2 linked regions of the Arabidopsis thaliana genome follow. The protein of the gene in region 1 purifies or fractionates together with the protein of each later gene. This does not show direct contact. Each region holds a gene or a part of one and is shown on either strand. Other genes may lie near its edges.

Region 1 (4,599 bases):
GTAAGCTGATCAGAGGGATACTGTGGTGTGGGGATGTAACTGTGGAGAGACTCAAGAAGGGAAACGAGGTTATGAAGAATAGGCTTAGTCGTGCTGAGAAGGAGAAAGATGTTAGCCCTGAGACACTGAGGAGAATCAAGAGGTATGGTTATACTTAGGAATTTTGCATCTTTGACCTTGAAAATAACTGCTTAGGAATCTAGTAGGGATTCTCTTATCTGGTTCCTTGTTTCATGATCATTAGAGAACTGAGTAGTAAGGGATGATTATTGTTTGCAGAAGACCAATTCTATGAGCAGTGATGAAATTTCTTGTTTAAAAATGTTTGAACATTGTGCATTCTCATGGTAGTATATCTTGAATGAAATCAATTTTTATGCCTTTGCTTATCTCCCTCATGTGGTTTCTATCTAAAGGGTTAAGAGAGTGACACAAATGACAGAGAAAGTTGCCACTGGTGTTCTTTCTGGTGTTGTCAAAGTCTCGGGATTCATCACTGGTTCAATGGCAAACTCAAAAGCTGGAAAGAAGCTTTTTGGTCTCTTGCCTGGAGAGATTGTTCTCGCATCCCTCGATGGATTTAGTAAGTAGATTACTTGTTTTTGGTTTCTCATATTTCCTATCCCATGCTTGGAGGGTCATAAAAGCTTCTTGATTCACGAGTTGCCTTGCTTTCTTTCATCTCACTTGAATACATGTTTTGACATGACCAGCATTACAATTATTGTTTATCCGACTTTCCCTCTGATGGCCATTCCCATAATTTTTCCAATTTTTCGAATATGACATTTAGCAGAAGTTCCTTGATATAGTGTATTAGTGCTTGGATCTGCTTCTTGCATTGAACAAGTTAGTCTGGTGGACTTTGGAGCATTATTCTTTTTGTGGGTTTTTAATTTCAAAGTTACCAAATGTTTTGTAATCGCTGGCTTCCCTTATATACCGAACCCTTTTTTGTTTAAGGCACATGGGATTAGTACCCTTCTTTTCATGTTTACTTCTTGTTGCAGGCAAGATCTGTGATGCTGTTGAAGTTGCTGGGAAAAACGTAATGTCGACTTCATCAACTGTCACAACAGAATTAGTCAATCACAGGTATTGATTAGCAAAGGCATATATAAACAATCACATATCTCCGCATGAGTGATCTTCAGCAAGAGTGATCAAAGTTTCCTTAGATCTTAAAGAAACCTCATGGATTCTGTTTCGAAATTACAGGTACGGCACAAAAGCAGCAGAGGCTACTAACGAAGGGCTAGACGCAGCGGGACATGCATTTGGAACGGCATGGGTTGCTTTCAAGATTCGAAAGGCATTTAACCCCAAAAATGTCATAAAGCCTTCATCATTGGCCAAGTCTGTTTCGGAACTAAAGGCTAAGAAAGGCTCCAAGTAAACACTAAACAGCCTTCAACTGTTCTGTGTTCATCTAAACTTGCATTTAGTTTTTCATTTTGGAAAAGTATATGAAGATTGATTGATGTAACTCTATATTTAGTTTTCTGTGTATATTGTGATTCTATGTAAACTATATAAACAGTTTCTTCCAATCTTCTCCCATTTATGGGTTTGATTTGTAACTTCTTAATGCATCGAGAAGCAGTATTAGTACTCTTTATCTTTCTTTTGTACTGCTATTTCTTACCGCTAACTCTCATCTCTGGTGACTTATCCTGCCTTCGTTTACCTTTTTTAGTGTTTGCTTAGAAACACTAATTGCACCTATGTTATGTATTCTACCAGATTAATTTGACAAAAAACAATGTTAGGAGTTTTAATGTTTTGAAGAAGTGGGCCAGATGTTTGGAGTTTTAGGCCAATGTAGCTCATCTTGGGCCCAGTACAGAAATAAATCCAGTGATGATTCTTTCTGATTGGCTGGAAGGTGTGTGTACGTGAACCTGTCCGCAGGTGATTAAAACAGAGCTGGGCTTTTGGCTTGTCGCCTAAGTCGGGAATCGTTTACTGTGAAATAAAAACGAGAGAGAGTTTTTGAAGAAGAAGAAAGAACACTCACAAGATCCAGAAAAAGGTAAAAGATGGCGAGATACGATCGAGCAATCACTGTATTCTCCCCCGATGGTCACCTCTTCCAAGTAGAGTATGCCCTAGAAGCCGTCCGAAAGGGTAACGCCGCCGTCGGAGTCCGCGGCACAGATACTGTCGTCCTCGCCGTCGAAAAGAAATCCACCCCTAAGCTCCAGGATTCCAGGTATTGCTCCGATCTCTACCGATACAAGATGCTTAAACCGGATTTAGTCCATTTACTTTTGTTTCTGCACTTTGATTTTGGTTTTAAGCTTCACCTGGATAGCTCGCTTGATTTACTCAATTGCTACTTGTATGATCACTGTTTCAATCCTTCTGAACTAAATCCTGATGTTGGGATTTTGTATCACTTCGTAATTGCGAATCTAGTATTGTTAGATCGTAGAATCTGAGCTGAACCCTAGTTTAAGTCTTTTTCTCTACGAGTGTACAATTACAGTTCCTGTATCTCAGACGTGTTTTTTTGTATAAGAACACGTTTTTGGTTATACTCTGCAAATTGATCATTCACTGCGTAAAAATATAATTTTGGTGTTGAACTTGCTGAAATCTAAGCAATATCGTCTTCGTATCTGTTGGCTGAGCTCTTGCTCCAATAGATCTGAGTTTTTTTACCTATTGTTATCCGTATATAGGATCTGGTTGGTGTTCCTTCCCAATCATATGAGTTTTGATAATTTTTTTGCTTCTCAGATCAGCAAGGAAGATAGTGAGCCTTGATAATCACATTGCATTGGCCTGTGCTGGACTGAAAGCAGATGCTCGTGTCTTGATAAACAAGGCGAGGATAGAGTGTCAAAGCCACAGGCTTACGTTGGAGGACCCAGTTACTGTTGAGTACATTACTCGGTACATAGCAGGGCTTCAACAGAAGTATACTCAAAGTGGTGGTGTGAGGCCTTTTGGTCTTTCCACTCTTATTGTTGGGTTTGATCCCTACACTCGTATACCCGCGCTTTATCAGACCGATCCATCTGGTACATTCTCTGCTTGGAAAGCTAATGCAACTGGGAGAAACTCTAACTCAATTAGGGAGTTTCTGGAGAAAAACTACAAAGAAAGCGCTGGCCAAGAAACTGTTAAGCTTGCTATCCGTGCTCTGCTTGAGGTTAGTTTGCTCTATCATGTTCTATAACTAAACCTTGTAGTTTTCTTTTGAGCTATTGTCGGGGTGCCCTGTTAGTGAATGTTCTATAACTAAACCTAGTAGTTTTAGTTGACAATGAGATCTGACCTATTAATTATTTTGCTGCGTGACCCGGTGATTTTGTGAGCAACATGCCAAACTTTGAACCTCATTATGATTCTTCATTATTTATAGGTGTGGCTTTAGGTTAAAAGTGAATGTTAGAGAATGTTAAAGTTTTTGAAAATGTAGAAGACCTTACTAATTGAGTTGGATTATAATGTTAGATGAGCTTACTTAGCAAACGCACAAGTAGTGGTGGAACTTGTAAAGAAGCTGAAAAGGATTTGCATTTTGCAGGTTGTTGAGAGTGGGGGAAAGAACATTGAGGTTGCTGTAATGACACGAGAGGAAGGTGTTCTGAAGCAACTAGAAGAAGAAGAAATTGATATCATTGTGGCTGAGATCGAAGCAGAGAAGGCTGCAGCTGAAGCAGCCAAGAAAGGCCCTGCGAAGGAAACATGAACCAGATCTTAAAGTAGCGGTCTCAGATTATGAGTTGTAATGCTGGTTCAAAGTCAGGGATATTCAAGGGTTGAATAGAAAATCTAGACCGCATGAAATGGTTTGTTGGATTACTAGCCTATTTGACACTGTTGCTTTAAATCTTAAATGACATTTTAGCGGAGTTTCGATACTTGTCAGTTGGAACTATGGCATGTTCAGTATTCTAGATGACTTTGCATTTGCGCTCAAGAGTTGTAGATTTTGATTTTGGAAACGTTGTTTCTTACTAAACATGTCTCTCTTCTTATTATCTCCATTGTGTAACTTACCGTTTTTACCATCTTTGTACCTCCATTAACTTGTTCACCAACGAATAACATGAAGAGAACAACATTACAAAGTGGAACTGACATAAACTATGATCACCAAAGTCCATAAGACTGCCAGCAACCCTGAAGATAGTTAGTTGTAGTTTGCTGAACCACAATGGTTTTGAATCAAACGAAATTCCATTACCAGACAACAAGATGCTAGCCCTTTCTTCTCTTTAGCTTTGTGTGTCACCATTGAGACGATTACCTCAAATGACGTAAAGGTATCCCCAATAAGGCAATAACGTAAAGGTAACGTTAATGATGTTAAAAATCTTGAAAAACAAAAAAGACGCCGTTGCCGGGGATCGAACCCGGGTCACCCGCGTGACAGGCGGGAATACTTACCACTATACTACAACGACCTCGTTGTTAGGATATCAAATAACATGGTATTAATACAATAGTATACAAAGATTTTTCTAAAAGAGAGTTGAATCTTGTGTCTAAAGGATTTTCGAGTTCACAAAAAGAATTTCCTCGCTCTACCGCCGCCGTCTCTCTTCTCTCAGGTAAGCTACTTCAGTTTCTCTGATAAACCTATTT
Region 2 (5,362 bases), on another chromosome or scaffold:
GTTTAGATATGTATGTAAACCGACCGTGGGAGATAGAGAGAGAGACTGAGAGAGACTGAGAGAGAATAATGATTGCGTAAAGCCGTAAAATCTGTAATGGTTTTTTTCTTGACGTATTAAGGTGGGTTTTATCAGTCTTTCTATTACACGGTACTGTACTTACTCTCTTAAAAATCTATTTTGTCGGTTTTTTTCCACGAAAATTATTTTCTTCTTTAAACTGATACACATGTATCAATATCCAAATGAAACACATTTTTATACAAATTGAAACATGCAATAAACTACGGAATATCTAAAAAACAATAAAATTAACGGCCCTAAAATTAATTTTAACTAAATTCTTTAATAAAATAAAATAAAATCATAAGTCTATAAAGTATTAGTTATTTTATGGTAGTTTAATGGTTAATAATTGTTTTTTCATATAGAACATAGGAATGTGGTTAAATTTCAGAATTTTAATACACTTTTAACTTAATTATTTGTTTATATGAGGCACTTTAAGTTTTAGAAAACTATAAACACATATGCAAAACATCAAACCAAATTATGTTTTTGCATGTCTTTTGTTGCATGCTCTATATATCCTAACTATTTTTGCTTAGTAGTCCACTAAATTGTTTCGTTTCAATCACAACCACTCAAGAAAATAATTACAATAGATTACTAAAACAAGTTAACAACAGTGTTATTTATTTACTCTTTTTGTCGTAATGCTTTAAATTACATGTCTCTTTCTTTTCATCGGACAACTGTTAGTGTGTTTTTTTGTACATCAGGACAACTGTTAGTTTACTCATGTTTTCTACATTGTACATTTTGGCAGTCAATTTTACGGCACGGTTTCCATTAAAGATATGGACGTCATCTTATGGTAAGCTGCATCTTTTGAGGAATAATACATGTAGACGTCCCTATTTATAATTTTTGTGTTACGTAACTTCCCTTTTGTTATTAATTAAGTGTGTTTATTTGGTCAATTCACTCAATCAAATCAAACCCAACGCCAAACTGCAACTATTTATGTGATTGACGCTTCAGAGTTGAAACTGCCACTTTTGTCAGATTTATTATCTCACTTCCCAACTTTTCTTTTCCGTAACTAGTGAATTTATTCATGGGAAACTAATTTAATGCATGGTATATGATGCGTACAACAAGCAATACTTATATGAAAAAAGATTTAGAAACAAATTGTATTGGCTTAACTAAATCAATTAATCATGTAGCAATTAGGTGATTTGGAGTCTATTCTCTGTTTAGAAAAGTAGTAACTGTTGTCTTTATGAGAGTTTCTGTTTTACTTAGCGGGTAAATCTACTCTAAGCTAGGTGTTTTCATCCACTTAACATGTATTTTATAATCTCATGGTTTTCACAAGTCTTAAATTGTACTTATTAGTTTGGTCTAAATATTACTCCCTTTGTTTCATTATATTGGATGTTTTAGGGATTTTATTTTGTTTCAGATTATAAGATGTTTTACAAGTTTAAATTTAAATTTAATTTGACTATTTGTGACTATTTATATTTTGCAGTTTTCATTATCATTTTTTTTAACAAAATCTAAATACTATTTTTTATATACAAAATGACCTAATATGTATCCATTTACCTTAAACCTCTTATATTTTAAAACAGAGTGAGTACATTCAGTAAGAGAATGGATAAAAACGAATTTGGAATACACAAACTATAAAAGTTTCTTGAGTACTGTTTCTATTATTGGGCCATAAACAGTGAGACAAACAGGCCCATAGAAGTAGGTGAAAAAGGCTTATTAAGATCAACGGTTCTCTCGTTACGAATGCAAAGAATCTTCTGGATCCTTTTTCTCTCAGCTACTCTCTCCATTTATCTAATAAACCCTAACCCCTCCTCCCACACTATTCGTTTACACTAACCACTTCCTTATCCACACCAATCCAGAACGTTCCTCAAAAAGCTCCCTCCTTTTCTCTCAAAATGGCGTCTGCAAACGCTCTCTCTTCCGCCTCCGTCCTCTGTTCTTCCCGTCAGGTACAAAGTTTGTTCCTTTTTACCTTCCTTAGCTACTTACTAAAGAAGAAAATGAATCATCTTTCATTACTTTGTTTTGATTGGATTTGACCCTTCAGTGTTATCTATTTTCAAAAACCTTTCTCTATCTGGTTTATTGGGTTTTTGAAGAAAGTGATTGAATTTGACCCTTTAGTTTGTTCTGTTTCAATTCAATTGCTTTTCTCTATTTGGTTTCTGGGTTGGTGAGAAAAGGTTAATTTTTATGGGAATTAGAAGAAACTGATTGAGATTAATGTTAATGAATCTGCTTTATTGATGTTGTGGGTATACAGAGTAAGTTGGGAGGAGGAAATCAGCAGCAAGGTCAGAGAGTTAGCTACAACAAGAGGACAATCAGACGTTTTAGTGTTAGAGCTAATGTAAAGGAAATAGCTTTTGACCAGCACTCTAGAGCTGCTCTACAAGCTGGTATTGATAAGCTTGCTGATTGTGTTGGTCTCACTCTTGGCCCTAGAGGTATTTGTTAATATTAGTAGCTCCTTTACTCTTTCCATCTTCATCTGTGTTATTTATCTTTCGACTTATCTTGGTGTTTTCATTTGTTATTCTTAAGGGAGGAATGTTGTGTTGGATGAATTTGGAAGTCCTAAGGTTGTGAATGATGGAGTCACCATTGCTAGAGCTATTGAGTTACCTAATGCCATGGAAAATGCTGGTGCAGCGCTTATTCGTGAGGTTGGTGTAGCTTTGTTATTGTCTCTGTTAATGCTATTTATACGGTGCGGTAATCTGGTGTTGTTATGTGGTAGGTTGCGAGTAAGACTAATGACTCTGCTGGTGATGGGACAACCACTGCGTCTATCCTTGCTCGGGAGATAATCAAACATGGATTGTTGAGCGTCACTTCTGGTGCGAATCCCGTTTCACTCAAGAGGGGAATTGATAAGACTGTTCAAGGTCTGATCGAAGAGCTTCAGAAGAAAGCTAGGCCCGTGAAAGGTCGTGATGACATCAGAGGTACTAACTTTGCAGTGACCTTCCTTGTGATGCAGCAATGTTTGATTTCTTTTACTGATCAATCTGTTCTTTTTTTTTTTTCCAGCTGTGGCTTCTATCTCTGCTGGAAATGATGACCTTATAGGGTCAATGATTGCTGATGCCATCGACAAAGTTGGACCTGATGGTGTTTTGTCCATTGAATCTTCATCTTCTTTTGAGACCACGGTCGAAGTTGAAGAAGGGATGGAGGTATGAGTTTTTTTGTCTTGCTTCTCTTCAACTGTAATTTTATTCACCATTCATTGCCAATGACTAACTTGATTATTTACAGATTGACAGAGGTTACATCTCGCCTCAGTTTGTTACAAACCCTGAGAAACTACTAGCTGAGTTTGAGAATGCTAGGGTATTGATCACTGATCAGAAGATCACTGCGATCAAAGACATCATCCCTATTTTGGAGAAGACCACTCAGCTTCGTGCTCCGTTGTTGATTATTGCAGAGGATGTTACTGGTGAAGCCTTAGCTACCCTTGTCGTGAACAAGCTTCGTGGTGTCCTCAATGTTGTTGCCGTTAAAGCGCCAGGATTTGGAGAAAGAAGAAAAGCCATGCTTCAAGATATTGCAATCTTGACAGGTATATGCAGATTTCGCGTGCGTTTAGTACTTTTACTTTCTCTCTGTTATGGTCTAAACTTTTTATCATTTTGTATGTTTTTCAGGAGCTGAGTACCTAGCCATGGACATGAGCTTACTGGTTGAAAACGCAACCATAGATCAATTGGGTATTGCCCGAAAAGTCACGATTAGCAAAGATTCGACTACCCTCATTGCAGATGCAGCTTCCAAGGACGAATTACAAGCTCGGATTGCTCAGCTGAAGAAAGAACTATTCGAGACTGATTCTGTGTATGACTCAGAGAAGCTCGCTGAGAGAATTGCGAAGCTATCTGGAGGTGTTGCTGTCATTAAAGTCGGAGCAGCAACTGAAACTGAGCTTGAGGACCGTAAGCTTCGTATCGAGGATGCAAAGAACGCAACATTTGCTGCTATCGAGGAAGGCATAGTTCCAGGTGGTGGTGCTGCTTTGGTGCATCTCTCCACTGTTATTCCCGCCATTAAGGAGACTTTTGAGGATGCTGATGAACGTTTGGGAGCTGACATAGTACAAAAGGTAGCATTTAGTTTTTCGGTTCAGTATTTGTTCTGTAACCAATTGTGACTAGTTATCTTATAAGGGTTTATGTTTTGAGTTCAGGCATTGCTGTCACCAGCTGCTCTTATTGCTCAGAACGCTGGAGTTGAAGGAGAAGTTGTTGTGGAAAAGATTATGTTCAGCGATTGGGAGAATGGGTACAACGCAATGACTGATACATATGAGAATCTGTTCGAAGCTGGAGTGATTGATCCGGCTAAAGTGACAAGATGTGCGCTACAGAACGCTGCTTCCGTAGCAGGAATGGTACTGACCACTCAGGCCATTGTTGTTGACAAACCGAAACCCAAGGCTCCTGCTGCTGCTGCTCCTGAGGGTCTCATGGTGTAATCAAAACACAACATCTTATCATCACAATGGCATCTTTGTCTTTTTGCACATTTGTCATCCCCATTTATCTGCAATGTTTTTCTTTTTTGGGGGAATATGAGTAGTTTGTTAACAGTATCGAGAAATAATTATCATCTTTTTTGTCCAATGGAAATTGCAGAAAATGGTTATGTATGCGACCAAACATTTTATATGTAGCGAGAGTAGTTTAGCAGAACAATAAGCAAATATGCGTACAAACTGAATAATGTTCCAACTTACTATACTATTAAACTAGGAGGGAACAATGTTTTTTCATGCCTTTACTAGTTTTCTCATAAAACTTGATCTGGATATTGCACTTCGATGATCTACGAACCATTAGCAGATCTCCGGTGATTCGATACTTCTCCTTGTCGTTTATTGCACAGGCACGAACTTTGACAAGCACAAGACATGACAGTTTCTCTATGAAATGTCTCATTTCCTCTAGCTCTTCAATTGTTCCTTCATATTCAGTTATCTTCAATACTTTCACAGGACATCACAATCCATATATTCTTGTAAAGTTAAGTATATATACAGGGAGATCAGACTCGTTGGAACCACTCGTACTTTGACTTGGAACTGCTCCAAAACTAAAAGAATTTTTGGTAGATGATTATGTATGTATCCTTCTCTTCCTCCTCTTCTTGTTCTAGCTTTGATGGACTAAAATACTAGTCAAAATTTTGCTTAATATATACCCCTTATTGCTTCTCAGAGATATATCTACAAAACCGAGGATCTTCCATTTTGATGGAATCAACCGAGTCTTGTTCCCGGATGCTTGTC

What was found. The genes of interacting proteins can lie anywhere in the genome.
Region 2: the proteins of PAD1 (region 1) and CPN60A fractionate together in Arabidopsis thaliana (co-fractionation; one large-scale study listed by BioGRID). This does not show direct contact.

What each region holds. Positions count from the first base shown.
Region 1 is NC_003074.8:19,029,047-19,033,645, forward strand, and holds PAD1 (20S proteasome alpha subunit PAD1), read left to right. Parts: upstream 1-1,879; 5' UTR 1,880-2,039; coding exon 2,040-2,212; intron 2,213-2,742; coding exon 2,743-3,157; intron 3,158-3,535; coding exon 3,536-3,700; 3' UTR 3,701-4,088; downstream 4,089-4,599. Other genes in the region: AT3G51250 (Senescence/dehydration-associated protein-like protein), read left to right, coding at 1-142, 417-583, 1,011-1,095, 1,219-1,396. UniProt on the Arabidopsis thaliana protein: The proteasome is a multicatalytic proteinase complex which is characterized by its ability to cleave peptides with Arg, Phe, Tyr, Leu, and Glu adjacent to the leaving group at neutral or slightly basic pH.
Region 2 is NC_003071.7:11,924,636-11,929,997, forward strand, and holds CPN60A (chaperonin-60alpha), read left to right. Parts: upstream 1-1,810; 5' UTR 1,811-1,967; coding exon 1,968-2,021; intron 2,022-2,335; coding exon 2,336-2,519; intron 2,520-2,616; coding exon 2,617-2,738; intron 2,739-2,812; coding exon 2,813-3,020; intron 3,021-3,105; coding exon 3,106-3,251; intron 3,252-3,333; coding exon 3,334-3,640; intron 3,641-3,725; coding exon 3,726-4,177; intron 4,178-4,261; coding exon 4,262-4,549; 3' UTR 4,550-4,853; downstream 4,854-5,362. UniProt on the Arabidopsis thaliana protein: Binds RuBisCO small and large subunits and is implicated in the assembly of the enzyme oligomer. Involved in protein assisted folding. Required for proper chloroplast development.